Regions from separate parts of the Mus musculus genome. Here all the other regions are reported to be linked to region 4. Evidence: microRNA targets listed by miRTarBase, many of them from high-throughput screens and not tested one by one. Region 4 holds a microRNA gene; each other region holds the end of a gene's coding sequence.

Region 1 (3,000 bases), not on the chromosome of region 4:
CAGCCCGCAACCCCCACTTGCCTCCGTTCAAAGCAGTTCAACCAGCGCAAACTCGCCTGTTGCTGTGAGGAGCCTTCCTTTCAGCTCAAGGGGCAGCCTGAGTCCTTTCCCTGGGGGCCTATCTAGTGAGCTGGCTTTTATCTGAAGCCGGCTCCAGACTGCAACTTGTCCCTGACCAGCAATAGAAGCCTGAAGGCAGGGGCCTGGAAAGACTTTGAAAGGGCCTGGATTGGGCCTCCAGACCCTGTGGCCAGACCTTCTCCAATGGGGGTCCTGGGAGAGGGTTGCACCCCTATCGCCCTCTCACTCTTTGCCTCTCTCCTTCCTTAGGTGGCCAACGCACCCGCAAAAAGCGCTGCCCTTATACCAAATACCAGATCCGAGAGCTGGAGCGAGAGTTCTTCTTCAGCGTCTACATCAACAAAGAGAAGCGTCTGCAACTGTCCCGCATGCTCAACCTCACCGACCGTCAAGTCAAAATCTGGTTTCAGAACAGAAGAATGAAGGAAAAAAAGATTAACAGAGACCGGTTACAGTACTACTCAGCTAATCCACTTCTCTAAGGCTCCAGCCTACTGGAATTGGGAGGGGGGCTTCATACATGTGAAATAATATGCAGATTTTGCCCTTGACAAGGTCAAGCCACATTGCGACTTGGAAAAGGGGGGTGATATAGGAGAGAGGAGAGGTTTCCTTATCAGAGATTCGTCCAATAGGAAGGGGGCCTGAAACTCTCTTGGTTCAGATCTCCGTGGTTAAGCTTCCTATTAGTAATTGAATTCTAAGGGTTGTGAATCAACAGAATGAATGGTTTGGGACCCCTGGTGGTTCACTCTTAGAGCCTGCAAAAGCTTTGAGCTGGGTGTGGTCACTGGAGATTGGGCCCCCTGCCAAACCCTAAGGAGGCCACCCGCTCAAGACCCTCTGCACAGAGCCTGCCCACCCCCAGGTCTCCCAAGTCAAGAAACTGTGTGCCCCAAGCCTAGTTCAGCTTGGGGATAGGAGCAGGAGGAAAGGGGATGACTCCTAGAGATTCAGGCTGGGGTTGCTTTCCAAAAGTAATGTGAAAGACAGTTAACCAAAAGGTGGCTGTGAAAAGGGAGAGAGAGTGGGAGGGGGGTGTCCTGGAGGAAGGAGAAACCTATCCAGATGTCATTAATATCATCCCACCACTGATCTGCACCCAAACCTGAGCTCCTAGCAGCCACCTTCTGCAGCCTACCTGGGTTTTCTACCTCCCAATGGTGGTGATGGGTCTTCCATCTCAGAGCTGACTATTCCTAGGGTAGAAGACATTGAAAACTCCAGAGGCTGTGCTGGTTCCTGGCCCCTCAATCTCTACAGGAAATGCCTGCGGAGGGCTACAGTTTGGCAAACTCTTCACCACATTAAGGAAACTTGGATTTGGTGTCTGTCAGGCAGCAGAGCAGCAGGCCTGGCCAGTGGGTCCTTGGCCTTTGGCTGTGAGGGGCTGAAGTTCCCCCCCCCCTCCCAAATCCCTCATTCCTACCCTGCACTCTGTGCTCATCAACTCAGAACTGAGCTTGGAAGCTTCTGGCAATCTTCTAAGAGCCGGAGAGTGATTTGGAGCTATTTTAAAAGATAAATATTATATTATATATATATATTTCCCCGAAGGAACCAAAGCGAATTTTAAGAAGCAATGTAGAGGGGGGGGTGGGGATAATAAAAATATTTAAAGGCTCTATCTGTTTACAGTGTTCCAAGGTTAAACTCGCTCACTGCTAAAATATTTGAATGTATGCTTCATACAGGGATGGTGTTCAAAAGACTGTAAATAAAGAAACCATAACCTACTGTGTTTCAATACTCCTTTCCCTATCCCCATTAGCTGACTTATTTGAGGGTGCTGGGGAGAGTGGTCTGGGGATGGTCTTTTAATCTCTTACAACACTGTGACATTTGGAAAGGGCTGGCATACTGAGAGCCAGACTACTAAGACCTGAGAATGTCCTCTGGGGAGCCAGGCGCTCTCCAAATGAATCTCTTCTGCCTCCCTGCCTTAAGAAATCCCTGGTGGTTCTGTCTGTAGTGAGCGCCTTTGGCCGGCCCTTACTCAACATACATTTCCTATACATTTTAACACAGAGAGAGACAATGGGGCATACCAAGAATAAAAAGGGTAGACATTTGAGTATCGAGTCCTGGTGTGACATTTCTCTCTCCCTGTTCCGCTTTTTCCTGCCAAATGTCTCCCCTCAGCTAGCATCCTTTTAGCAGTAAAAGGGGTGAGTTACCACGCCCCCGAGAGGTGATGGAATCAGGATTGAGCTGCAATTGAAGCTAAGCATAGGAAGCCTGAGGCTATACGTCCTTGTGGAAGGCAGCATATTAGGGATGGGATATGTCAGGGCCTATGGTGTGAGACCTCTCTCCAACTGACCTTAGCTCCGGAGAAGGCCTTGTGGGTAACTGCAATAGCCAATGGCCTAACCCAGGCTAATCTTGCTCACCTCAGGACTGAATAAAAACCCTCTGGGTGTACCTTGTGAGTCCTTTCAGCATGAGAGATCTGGCTCTAGGTACCAAGGCAGAGCTAGGAGTCTCTCGGGAACCTCTAAGAGTGCTTCCTCTCCAGCTTCCTCTCGGTCCCCTTGGGCAAGGAAAGATACGGACTCGGTCTTTGTTTGCTGCCTTTGAACTTCTGCCTTAAATTTGGACATCACCCATAACCTTGAGGGGCAGGGCAGAAAGGACAGAGCCTTTTGTTGCCCACCCCACCCTCTTTCAGCCACCCAGGCAGACCCAAAGCAGCAAAGAGGGTCTCATTTGGAAAGAGACCCTAGGCTCCAAGAGCCTGCCCTGTTTATTTGTTTGTGTGTTTGTCTAGCTGGCGCGACAGGGGTGGAGAAAGCGAGCTTTCTGAAAGGGGAGAGGGACAGACCCTCTAGATGAATGTCTTTGGTTGATCGACAGACACACTGAGAAGCACAAGGGCCCTCCTGGGGGGCGAAAGGGGGCGGGCAGGGAAGCTCGGTT
Region 2 (3,000 bases), not on the chromosome of region 4:
TTACGTATTGGTTTTTGTTTTTTTTTAATTATCTTTTTTATTTACAAATCAGACGTTGCCACACCTCCAGTCTCCTACCACAGTTCTTCTTTTAGCCTCCCCCTACCCCCTTCTTTTCTTTTTCATTTTACTTTAAAACAAACGACTCTTTCCCAAAGCCAGTTTTTCTCTTTGAAACATGCTAGTATATACTGTTCATTAGTAGGTAATTAAGAATGCTCTTATTTTTCTTACACAGGTTTAAGAAACGAATGCTAATAGAACAACTGGAGAACTTCTTGGATGAAATTCATCGAAGAGCCAATCAAATCAACCATATTAATAGCAATTAAAAGAAAATAGAATGAGGCCACTTATTTCATTGTCTTCTCCAAATACAAAGTAAATACAAGACTGTTGTAATCTTGTATTCATTCTTTGACATGCATTGTTGGCTATTTGAGATACTAAAAACATTCTACAGTTCCTTTCCATCATTTTACAGTGCCCTTTTCATTTTAGCTTACTTTTGTAAAGTGAAAAGTATCACAAATTTTTTTTCTTTCTTCCCTTTTTTCTTTTTCTTTCTTTCTTTTTTTTAACCAACTAAAACTATTCTTCAAATCCTCTGCTTGTCATTGGCTCTTGCGTGTCAGTTTCCCTCAGGTTATATTTTCTTAAACCAACCTTTAAAATTGTCAGCTCTGTTAAGGTTGAACTTTGCCAAAAAAAGAAAAAAAAAGAAAAAAAATTAAAAACAAGTTACTTTGTAATTTTTGGGGAAAAAAAGCACATACATTAAAAACTAGGTAATGTTTTGTATATACAGTTATTTTGGATATATTATTGTAAGTTGTACAAATGTATTTTGAAGAATATTTAAGAAAAGCACTTTTGTTATTCCATCAATAAATGCTCTATTTTACTCTTGTGTGGTTTAGGAAATAATCACATTTAAAGTAACTACTTAAAAACATTCTAAAACAATGGAATTTTAAAGGCCTTGCTTTTTAGCATTAAAAAATACACAACTTAATATTTGTTAAACTAATGTAATTATATGTTACATAGCCTGCATTGTCTTTTTAACTATTATATGTTCTTAGTTTTTGTTGGCCATGCCAATATACTCCACTCTTGCCTGGATAATGGTAATACTTACTAGGTCTGTGGCAGATAGACAGATGGGCAGTTTTTTTTAAAAACAGTTTTAAAAGTAGATGAGTTGGGGCATTATTGGCTTCTTAACACCTTTCAACCTTTCTTACAGGATTTAGATGGCACTCTAGCTGTTAGTTAAGGTGTGATAGCTTTAGGGTATATCATATTTGGAGAAGGCTAGTATGCCGACATTTGGTCCCCTCCCTCCCCCGATGCTTAGGTGAGTTTATAATATGATAATTCAGAGTGGATCTCTTGGTTCTGCTCCCTGATTCTCAGAATCTAACTGGAGAGGAAACAGACTTAGACGGCTGTACTCATTTCTTTCCCCCTTATTTGCACAGGATGAGGATATCTGGCACTCCATTCTCCATCCTCACAGGGCTGCACATCTTTACTAAGGATGTGACCATGTGTCCTGACTCATGCACATATTCATAGATCACTGCCGTGCCTTTTAGTGGTTTGGAGGGAACCAGTAGAAAAGGTTAGAGTTTTTAGATTTGGAATAACCAAGGTGAAAAAAAATACCCTTTAAATTATTTTTTTAATTGAATTATTTTTAGATTAATAATATTTGGAAATCACATACTCTTAAAAGAAATTGTAAATATTTATGAAGGAAAGCATACATAGAGAAAACATTCTTGAGGTCTGCTATTTTAGTCAAGGGGATTTGAAACTCTTCCGATACTGAAGACAAACCCTGTAAAGAAAAAGAAACATTTCATGTGACTTGTGGTATTTTCATAAAACAATTCATTAAACATTTCTAACGTCTTCACAATTTCTGGAAGTAAATGAAGATATAATTTAGAGATGGAATTATTAAAATAATTGCCTGTAATCACACTGCTAAATTTATACCAAACTATACAAAATCCAGATTAACTTTGTGGTTGTGAATTATGTGTATTAAGAGTGAGATCAGTGGGAACACTGGAGTCATTTAGATAGGAATTATATTTAGTCAGCACATGGGGGCTGTCCTTGGAAGGGTCTTTATGTCATAAGCATGGTGGAATAATTCTCAGATCTTCTTCCTTTACTACAATTTCCAAAATGAACCCCCAAGGAGTGTAAAATAACAGGATCTTCTGTGTCTGTGTTCTACCCTTCTCCCTTTCCCCACTCCTCCTCTCTGTTCCTTTCTCTGTCTGGCATAATACTGTTTACATTTCTAATACTAAAACTTAGTCTGAAAATTTGCAGCCTATCAAAAACTAAAGCTTAAGATTCCATCCACCTCAGGCTTTTGCCTTTCAAAGATGGTGGGCAAGTTAGTCAAGCTAGTGAAGTTTCTACAGAATCCTTGTTAGCCAAGGCAAGGGAGGATATATTTGGGGATGGGTATTTTATTCTTTGAGATCGTGGAATGATGTTGTGTTGGACAAGTGCTCTCCAAAGGGTTAATGTTAGAGTTCTAATTTTCCTTAATGTTCCCCTATGTGTCCTATTTGTTAGTTGATTCATTCATCAGTATAAGACTTGTAAGCTTTTAACAGTGAAGGCCGAGACTTTTTTTAGGTTATTTTTATTTTAAGAGTTTTGTCTACATGTATGTAAGTGCACTACATGCGGGCCTAGTGCTTGTAGAAGCCCAAAGAGAAGAGAGTGTGAGATTCCCTGGAACTGGAGCTGCAGACTCCTAGGAGTTTCCATGTGGGTGCTGGGAAGCAAATGCTCTTAACCATGGCCATCTTCTAGCCCCAGCTGAAGGGTCTAAGGGATTTAAAAATCCCTTAAGTGATATCAGAAAATTATCCACTTTGCCTTGGGTAATGTGAACAACCATCATCCAGAAAACTAAAAAGCTACAAGGACGGAGACTGGTGAGTTAGGGAACTGGTTTTTTTATTA
Region 3 (3,000 bases), not on the chromosome of region 4:
TATATATATATATATATATATATATATGTATATATATATATATATATCACATGTGGCTGGTGTCTGCAGAGGTCAAGACAGGGGTGCTGGATCCCCCGGCACTCAATTTACAGGTGGTCGCAAACCACCACATGGGTACATGTGGTCCTGGATCCAAACCTGGGTCCTGTACAATAGCAATGGGTACTCCTACCTGTTAAACCATTTTAGGCCCAAAGAATGCTCTTTAATGAGCTATCTCCAAGTGATTGTGGTATATATTGACATTGGAGAACCACTGTCCCATTTGCTCACATATTAGTATAGAAAGCATCACTTCATTGGGTCATTTTCACATTTCTCCTTTTTATTTCTACCCACATTGCCATATGCATGCTTTCATTATCTTATCTATGTATTTAAAGAAGGCTTTCCAAATCCCACTGTAAACATTAAAGATGAGAACAGGCTAAAGCAGACCTCTCTATTCTATTGGTCTTTTTATTTAGAGTCTAGAATATCTACCTAGAAGATTTCTTCTTTGCATGAATACAGCTTCTAAAACTACTCCCATGATGTTCTTTTCAGTTCATATGAACATAGGCTACTTAAAAACATGGTATTTTCAACTTAATGAAAAGTACTTATTTCTCAATTGGGAATAATAAACCAAGACAGTGTGAGACTGATCCTGGAAGATATTTCTTTATCTTTAGTTGTTGTTTCCTTTTATCTATCTATTTATTTAGATTATTTATTTTATTTATTTTATCTATCTATCTATCTATTTATTATTTTTGAGTCAATAGCTCTCTACGTAATCTAAAGGGATATATCCTAACACCTGACACTGGAAGACATTTTAAGATTTATTCATTTATTATATGTAAGTATATTGTAGCTGTCAGACATTCCAGAAGAGGGCATCAGATTTTGTTACAGATGATTGTGAGCCACCAAGTGGTTGCTGGGATTTGAACTCAGAGCCTTCGGAAGAGCAGTCGGTGCTCTTAACCACTGAGCCATCTCGCTAGCCCTGGAAGACAGACCATGAAGTATAGGAGCAATGAGATGAGTCTATAGTGTTGTGTATCTCTAAACACATGTTTGTGTCCTGTTTTGTGCTAATGGGAACTGAAAAGGTTTGAAGCTATGGCAATTCTAGTTAATGTTTTAAGGTCCATTCCTATTTGGAATATGTAAATAAAATAGTAACCACTGTTGGACGTCAAAATTTTTCATCTCGTAAATCTTACTTTCTATCCAGGTTTTATTCATTCATTCTCTAGTTGCTTCCTAGAACTACTTTTAATCTTTCAACATTTTATTTATTCAGTCTCTGTGTATATGTTTATACATGTGGGCACATACGGACAACCTCCAAGAAACAGTCTTGACCTTCCACTCTATAGTTTGTGGAAATCAAACTCAGCTCACCTGGCCTGGCTGTGAGGGCTTTGACCCACTGAGCTTGCCCTGGAGACTTTCAATCTAGATCAGGCCTGGATTACTAATATAGCATCTCCAACGGCTGTCAGTTTATACAGTATAGATAAATTACTTTTTAAACATTGAAGTCACATACCCATCCTGCTCAGTAGCTTCTTGTGTTTTCCTTGTTACTGTAAAATTCAGATATCACAGATATCAGACACTTAAACTCTTCCCTGGAACTTGAGGCTAAAATCTGTCTCCATTTTTTTTCTTTTTCCTTTTAAAGATTTATTTATTTAATTGATAATGAGTACACTGTAGCTGTCTTTAGACTCACCAGAAAAGGGCATCAGATCCCATTACAGATGGTTGTGAGCCACCATGTGGTTGCTGGGAATTGAACTCAGGACCTCTAGAAGAACAGTAGGTGCTTAACCACTGAGCCATCTCTCCAGCCCTGTTCATTCTTTAGTGAACTTTATTTTATACTTTTTCCTAGGAAGCAAGTTCCATTTTTTTTTAGTATAAATGTAATTTTTTGCCCTTAGTGAAAAGCTCAGGATACAAGAAAAAGAAACACAGACACTGGAATCCCTAACAGCAGAAGTTTATTTACATTGAAGTGAAGTTAAGGTATATATATATATATATATATATATATATATATATATATATATATAATTTTTTGAAACAAGATCTTGATATACATCCCTGGCCTGGACCTCCCTATGTAGACAGGCTGGCCTTAAACTTGCAGCAATCCTCTTGCCTCTGTTTCCCAAATGCTGGGATCACAGGCATGAGCTACCTTGCCTGGCTGAGTTACAGAATATTTTTAATTCATGCTGAGAAAACAGTAATACTTCAAACTTACATGTATATATTTGATAATGAATACAAGAGGTGCTGGGAAAGACTTTGGCATACACAACTATTAAAAGCAGGTTATCAGAACACTTAAACACCATTAGAGTCATGTTATCAGAACACTTACATATATCGCCTACGTATACATTACATCAACATCATAGACACCTCATCTTCTAACTCCTCACGCTATTTGAATAAATAGCATTCAAAGATAAACGTTAAGACTGGGGAGTAGAGAAGAAATACAGACGTGGTGGGCATCACAATATTTCAAATCCTACATATATGAATACAACAATAAAATTAAGAAACAGTGTTTCAATTTTTGTGTGAAACAATATTCAGCAATGTTTAGCGCATGAGAAGACACTGTTTTGGTCCATCCACTCTCTCCAGCTTTTCAAAGTGTTTTCTGGCATTGCGGATGTTGATCAGAGTAGCTGCAGAAGCTGAGGGTAGGGTGGGGAGACACCCAACAGAGTAAGAAAGGCAGTCAAAGGTATGTCTGTCTAGTAAAAGCAAATCAATTAAAAGATCCAAATCCTTCAGTGTGTGTCAGAGCATAGGAGCAGAAAGCCTCAAGCTATCAAGGATTTATATTTGTAAAGCAGATTTGTACATATCCTAAACATAAAACTTCACAATCTTTTGGTTTGAGACTAATAGAATAAACCTCAATAATTTATGTTACCTTTAAATATTAACCTAATATAAAAC
Region 4 (3,213 bases):
GAACAGTTTGACGGTTCAAATTCTTCCCAGAAGACAAGTTTATTTGCTCTCCTTGCTTTTGATTGATGCATTCAAATGATAAATGAATCTGATCCAATCAGGAGAGTAATCTCATATCTAGGATTGGACATCAAATCCTGCTGAAATCTTGGAGATCTCCATCAGTGCTGCTGATTCGTACATCAAATCCTCCTCCCTGGGTTCCCTTATGGAAATATAAAAAAATTGAACGTGGATAGCAGCAAAAAAGTTTTAAATCAATGGAGGAGTGACAGAAGGGACTGAAGGATCTATAGGCCTTTGCATCTTCATGGTGGGAGCTACAGTATCAACAACCCACACCCAGGAATTTCTAGGAGACTAGACCACCAACCAAAGAAAACACATGGAGGGACCCAGGGATATGGCTGCATATGTGGCAGAGGATGGACTTGATGGACCTCAGTACAAGGAGTGGTCCTTTGGCATGAGGGTGTTTGATGCCCCAGTGTAGGGAAGTGCCAGGATTGTAGGTGCTGCGGGCCCACTCCCATAGAGGCAAGGGGACAGGAGATAGGAATGGGGATTTCTTAAAGTGAGACCTGGAATAGGAATAACATTTGAATTGTAAATAATGAAAAGAAACCAATATAAAGAAATAAAAATCCTTGAACTTAGCCAGCAGCCTAATTGACCATATCTCCCCTTGCAGACAAATATATTTGCTCTATTTCTTCTAATAGATTGAGAATGTGCATTCAAATTGAGAATGGAAACAGGCCCAATCAGGAGAGAAATATCATATCTAGGCATGGACATCAAAACTTGCTGTAATATTGGAGAACTCTATCAGTCTGTTGATTCATTTCTTACCCCCTGCCTCTTCCCTAAGTTTCCTTATGGAAGTAGAAAAACCAAAAGTGAGTGGCAGAAAAACTATTTTTAACTACTTCTATCTACTATGACCAAGAGAAATACAAGTCAGTGAAATCCTGTAGATGTTCCTATTTGTGGCTTCTATTGCCTAGATCCAAGCCATTTGCCAAAGATGTTCTGTTTCTTTTTGAACCAAAAAGACTGTTACTTTTACCATGCAAATTTTCTGCTTGCTAACTAATACCAGGATTTCTGTGTCTCCTTCACTAATTGCTTCTGTTGTAAACTCTGATTATAGAATTTCTTAGAAAATGTAATATCTAATATTGTAAGCATAAGAGAGCTTTTAGAATTATAGTGCCACATTCTGCCCATGGATTTCTCCAAGCATACTTAGTTTGTATGAAATGCTGGAGTGTCTCATATAATTCCACACTATGTGGTGGAATTCAGTGCTAAAAACAATGTTTATATGATGTATTTGGTACAATTAATGGGGTTGTAAGGTGCCAGGATATTTTCTGATGCATGTATAGTTATAAGGCATTTAAGACTGTCAGGAATATCTTCACCACAGTAAGAGAATTTCATAAATATCTAGGTTATACCACAAAAACTGGATCACTAAAGACAGAATGCAAATGACCAGAAAAGCATATAGGTCTAGAGGTATCCACTAGTACAAGGTCACTATGAAAATAACTGTCTTCATTTTCTTCTTTTACATGCTGTAATACCAAGATAGAGGTCAGCAAAATATGATCTTGTGATTCCCTTAAAGGGCTCCTGACCCCCCGTGAACTGTGATGTAGCAAAAGCCAGACTTGGAAAAATGACCACCTAGACAATCTAATGAATTAAAACAATAACAACACTCTAAACTATGGTTGTACCTATGGATGCCTTTTGCGAACAATGGCAGTAGGTTAAAAGAATCACTCTCCGAAGAGTACTTTGATTCTGGGTACTATATGATATGACTCTGGATTTTTCTGAGTGTTCATGGTGATTAGTTGAGAATATTTACTGCCAAAGGATTTCTCTCAGTAGCTGAATGAAAGATGTGAAGATGCGAGATATTACCTAGTCTCTGTCACAAGCTGTAGCTTGAATTTTGTATTTTATTTTCAGAAGACACAGCTCAACATGAAACAAGGAAGTAACATTTCAAATCAAATACCTGAATTTCCCATAGGGGGGTGACAGCTACGATATGAAACATGGAGTTAAGCAACCAGTGCATGGAGACTGAAATAAATAAGCACAGGCTTCCCAGCTTACCACTGGCTCTGTCTGCTGACAGTGACACAGCACTCTCCACTCTCCCTTCTCTTTAGCACCATTCAGTCTGGCAGTGGTTATATCCAGGACCAGATAAGTCCTGGAGTATAACCACTAGCCTGACTGATGAAATCTTCCCCTGCAAACAAATTTATTTGCTCTCCTTGCTTCTGATTGATGGAGAATGTGTATTCAAATAGAGAATGGCATCAGATCCAATCAGGAAAGAGATTTTATAACTAGGCATGCACATCAAATCCTGCTGTTACCATGGTGATCTCATCAGTGCTGCTGATTCATGCCCCAACCCTTCCACCCTGACTTCCCTTAAGAAAGCAGAAATATTGATAAAAAGATATCAGAAAAAGCTGTTTTTTACATTCTTCTTACTATATTACCAACAAAAAAAAACGTCAGTAGAACCTTTGAGCAGAGCACTTCCTATTTTTGGTTCCTTCTATTTAGATCCAGAGAGTTTGCCAGAATACCTCTCTTTCATTTTGGGCTTTTTTGTTGCCTGCTGAATAATTGTGATGTGCCTATGTCTCCCTCAGTGATTGATTATGTTGTTTTCTCTGATTATAGCCTTTCCTATTACAACAATATTTAATAGGGTATCATCAAAGTGGTTTTGGAATACTAAGTGCAATATTCTTCCTATATCCTGCTCCACCAGTACTCAATTTATAAGTGACAGTGAAGTGTCTCATAGATATGCACAATATTAAGAGGAAAACTAGAGTTGAAAATACTGTTCATATACTTTGGATAATTCCAACAATACATAGTATGTAGGAAATTTTAAACTGTGCTTATAAAGAAGACATAATTTTTTTGATTTACATATAGTTGCAAATTGTTTACTACTGTTAGGAATATCTGAATGAAAATACTACATTTAGTAAATATCAAGGTTATACCACAGAGACCTGGATGCTAAAGACAGAGTAGAAATAACTGAAATAAATATAGGTCTCGAGAAAGCCACTAGTAAAAGGTCCCCATGAAAACTATTGTGTTTATTTCTTTTTTGTATTGCATATAATATAAAAATGGAGATGTTCAGGAGATGGATGA
Region 5 (3,000 bases), not on the chromosome of region 4:
TCTAAAGGTAGGATCCCCGCTTTTGGACCCTCTCACATGTCTTAAACCTCATAAGTATTCAGATAAAGACTAGAAACATGTTTTGATTCAATAAGTAAATTGTTTTAAAGTTGCCTAGCTTCTTCCAGCCATGGGATCCTAACTGGGAGTCCCTTTGGGACAAGATGAGAAATTAACTTGTTTTCATTCCCTTCCCCTCTATAGAAGAGAGTAAAGCCCGGCCTTTGTGCATCCTAGGGGAGCTTAGCATCCCTGCTCTCAGCAGTCAGCCCCTTGGTTTCTCTAAGAGGCAGCGTTGTGATCTCGCCCTCTGTAAGCACTCTCTCATAATGTTTTCTGTCTTGTTTCAGACCCATTTACCCAACATTAAAGTCCACGCCTACTTCGCCCCTGTCACTCCGCCCCCATCAGTCGGGGGCAGCAGACAGCGCTTCTGCAGGTGCTGCATCATCCTATGACAGCGGGGTGGCCCACCATGTTGAACTGAGTATTTAATGACACTTCTAGACATACCGTGGAGTCTCTCCGGTGGAAGCGACCCCAGCATTCTGGGCAAGGGTTACAAAGTGAGGGCAGCGTCCAGATCCCCAGAGCCGCACATACACAGGCACAGGCGTCCTCACCCCATCTGCTGTGGTTCTGGGACCATGGCTCTGAAGTTCATGCCGGCTGTAACAAGTGGGTTGGTAAAACCTAAGCATTCCTGTTGGACATGCCCAGAAACAATCGCAGGCCACGGTAGAGGGAGGGGACATTCCAGCAGAGCCCAGTGTTACTGCTTCTGTGGTTTCTTCATTTTATTAAGGGGTTTCTGTGGGGGGTTTGGAACAGTAACTATGATCCTCCAAGGTGAGAGGTAGCATGGAAAACAATATATGATTTATCCAGGGACCAGAAAGAAAACTTCTCCACATCCTAGAAATGGTAGCCATCCATTGGGAGACTCGTGGGCTTCCTTGTTCCCGTGCTGACATGCTGAGCATGTTCACAGAGAAACTCATCCTTTCATCTGGTGTTTGAGTATTTGACCCAGAGGTTTTTTTAGCGGCTGCATTGAAATCACTGGGGTCCAAATAGAATTCCTTTTCTTATCTGCTCAGTTTGTCACTGTATGTCACTGCACCCGGTTCTCTCGCTCACTGCCACCCGCGCTCGCTCGCGCTCTCTCTGTCTCTCTCTCTGTCTCTCTCTCCCTCCCCCTCTCCTTCAGTCTGTCCTCAGGATGCTGCCCACTCGATTGTTACTATGTTGCTATTTGTTGTGTTTACAGTTTGCATTTTGGATGAATTAGTTGGGGTCACCAAACATTTTTAAAAGAAACATCAATAAATATTTTTTTAATCTAACTTTTACCATCAGGGGACCCTGCCTGAATCTTTGCCAGTCTGGAAAGAAATTCTAACAAAAGCAGGAAAGTTATGATAAGAAATAGTCGGACTGTTTGGATGGAAAAAAACTTTCCTTAGGGTTTCTGTTGTATCCTATGCTGTATGCTGGTTTGCACGCTGTGCGCTGTCCCCCACGTGCTGCCCCACCCCACCCCCACATTTCCTTCCTTCTAAACTCACTGAGCTTACAAGAGAAGTGCAGCAGTGTGTAGGGTGGGTGATGAATCCCAAGCTGAGCCTGGATTCCCGGCTACCCAAGCTCCAGCACAAATGACCAGTATCCTGTGCCAGCAGGCGGTGGGTGTGTCCTGTGCCAGCAGGCGGTGGGTGTGGCCTCTGCCTGTCTGAGTTACTTGAGTTACTTGCTTTGCAGCAGTGCTGGGGGGGGGGGGGGGGCTGCTTTTGGTTTCTTGGTCTCCTCCCACAACTAATCCCAGGAGGGATACAAGAAGAGTCCTGTAATAGCTGGCTGCTGTGTTAACGTTAATAGAAGACCTAAGCATCTCCGCTGTCTCTGCAGACTTCCTCAGAAAGGGGACATGAAAGCAGCCAGCTAGGAGCACTGGGGCAGCCAGAGAGCCCAGAGAGGGAGTGGGGGCTCAGAGTCTACCAAGGCTGGAGAGGGAGTGGGGGGCTCAGAGTCTACCAAGGCTGGAGAGGGAGTGGGGGGCTCAGAGTCTACCAAGGCTGGAGAGGGAGTGGGGGGCTCAGAGTCTACCAAGGCTGGAGAGGGAGTGGGGGGCTCAGTCTACCAAGGCTGGAGAGGGAGTGGGGGGCTCAGAGTCTACCAAGGCTGGAGAGGGAGTGGGGGGCTCAGAGTCTACCAAGGCTGGAGAGGGAGTGGGGGGCTCAGAGTCTACCAAGCCTGAGCACCTGACACCAGAGCAGAGGGAACAAGGTTAGTACCTATGGCTCAGTCAAGAAAAAGCCTCTTCAGAGAAACACACAGAGAATGGGAGAAATGAGATGAGTTTTAAGGCATATTTCTAAACCCCGATGGTAGAAGCTTTGTGTGTGTTCATTAGAGTATTGGGAGAGGGGCTTTTGGGACCTGAGTGTGCAAGCCTGTGACCCTGGCATGTTAAAAGGGAGGGCTGTTTCATGCCATAGGTGCAGGTTCTGTCAGAATATATAGGAAGAAAGTCTGATGGATTTCTCATTACTGTAGAAAACAATCAGATGGAAGGCCCTCGAACGCTATACTCCCACATTTATTTATTGTATTAAACTTATTGAAAATCTTATTTTATTATGCTCTTTTGAAAGCTAAATTACTTGTGTTTTTATTCCTTTTCCCCTTTATGTTCAAATTACCTTGAGAGAAATCTCCTTTTTCCTCTGAGACCGTCTTGTTACATTGCTCACCTGACTGGTCTCAGTCACCTGGACTCCAGTTACCCTCCACTTCAGCGGCTGGGACTCGTGGCTAGTACTGCTTCCCCAGACTGGGTACCTCCTACCCCCCCTCCCCCCCACACACACCCCATCGCCCCAGACAAAGGCTTATACTCTGTAGCTCTGGCTGGCCTGGAATCTTGTCTTGGCCTCCTTACTGCTAGGATTATAAAGTTAGGCACACTAGCTCACATACACACTTGCAAATGTAGATACC

Evidence for each region. The annotated mature microRNA mmu-miR-344d-3p reads GAUAUAACCACUGCCAGACUGA and lies in region 4 at 2,199-2,220, opposite strand. An mRNA with a match to its seed (bases 2 to 7 or 8) in the 3' UTR can be bound and repressed. Matches are read on the target gene's strand: a 7mer-m8 pairs with bases 2 to 8, a 7mer-A1 pairs with bases 2 to 7 and ends in A, and an 8mer does both.
Region 1: the mRNA of Hoxa11 is a reported target of mmu-miR-344d-3p. Seed matches in the 3' UTR shown: 7mer-A1 at 1,615-1,621.
Region 2: the mRNA of Ints6 is a reported target of mmu-miR-344d-3p. The part of its 3' UTR that is shown has no 7-base or 8-base seed match.
Region 3: miRTarBase lists Rragb as a target of mmu-miR-344d-3p. Seed matches in the 3' UTR shown: 7mer-A1 at 2,088-2,094.
Region 5: miRTarBase lists Fbxl20 as a target of mmu-miR-344d-3p. The part of its 3' UTR that is shown has no 7-base or 8-base seed match.

Annotation. Positions count from the first base shown.
Region 1 is chr6:52,240,923-52,243,922 of GRCm38, reverse strand. Hoxa11 (homeobox A11) reads left to right here. Exons shown (of 2, transcript NM_010450.3): 2 at 331-1,818. The coding sequence ends at 563. It overlaps LOC115490410 (a long non-coding RNA gene), which reads right to left and starts at 688. Exons shown (of 2, transcript XR_003956437.1): 1 at 602-688; 2 at 1-481.
Region 2 is chr14:62,690,913-62,693,912 of GRCm38, reverse strand. It overlaps Ints6 (integrator complex subunit 6), which reads left to right. Exons shown (of 19, transcript NM_008715.2): 18 at 239-381. The coding sequence ends at 332. It overlaps Serpine3 (serpin peptidase inhibitor, clade E (nexin, plasminogen activator inhibitor type 1), member 3), which reads right to left. Exons shown (of 9, transcript NM_001199945.1): 9 at 1,670-1,846. The coding sequence ends at 1,803. Among named protein-coding and RNA genes, the nearest start is that of Serpine3, 29 kb to the right of the region's middle.
Region 3 is chrX:153,170,948-153,173,947 of GRCm38, reverse strand. It overlaps Rragb (Ras-related GTP binding B), which reads right to left. Exons shown (of 11, transcript NM_001004154.2): 11 at 2,005-2,732. The coding sequence ends at 2,635. Among named protein-coding and RNA genes, the nearest start is that of Rragb, 32 kb to the right of the region's middle.
Region 4 is chr7:61,724,058-61,727,270 of GRCm38, forward strand. It overlaps Mir344d-3 (microRNA 344d-3), which reads right to left and starts at 2,271; the gene lies at 2,192-2,271. All of the region lies in intron 6 of A230057D06Rik (RIKEN cDNA A230057D06 gene), which reads right to left.
Region 5 is chr11:98,087,049-98,090,048 of GRCm38, reverse strand. Fbxl20 (F-box and leucine-rich repeat protein 20) reads left to right here. Exons shown (of 15, transcript NM_028149.1): 15 at 351-3,000. The coding sequence ends at 458. Among named protein-coding and RNA genes, the nearest start is that of Stac2, 35 kb to the right of the region's middle.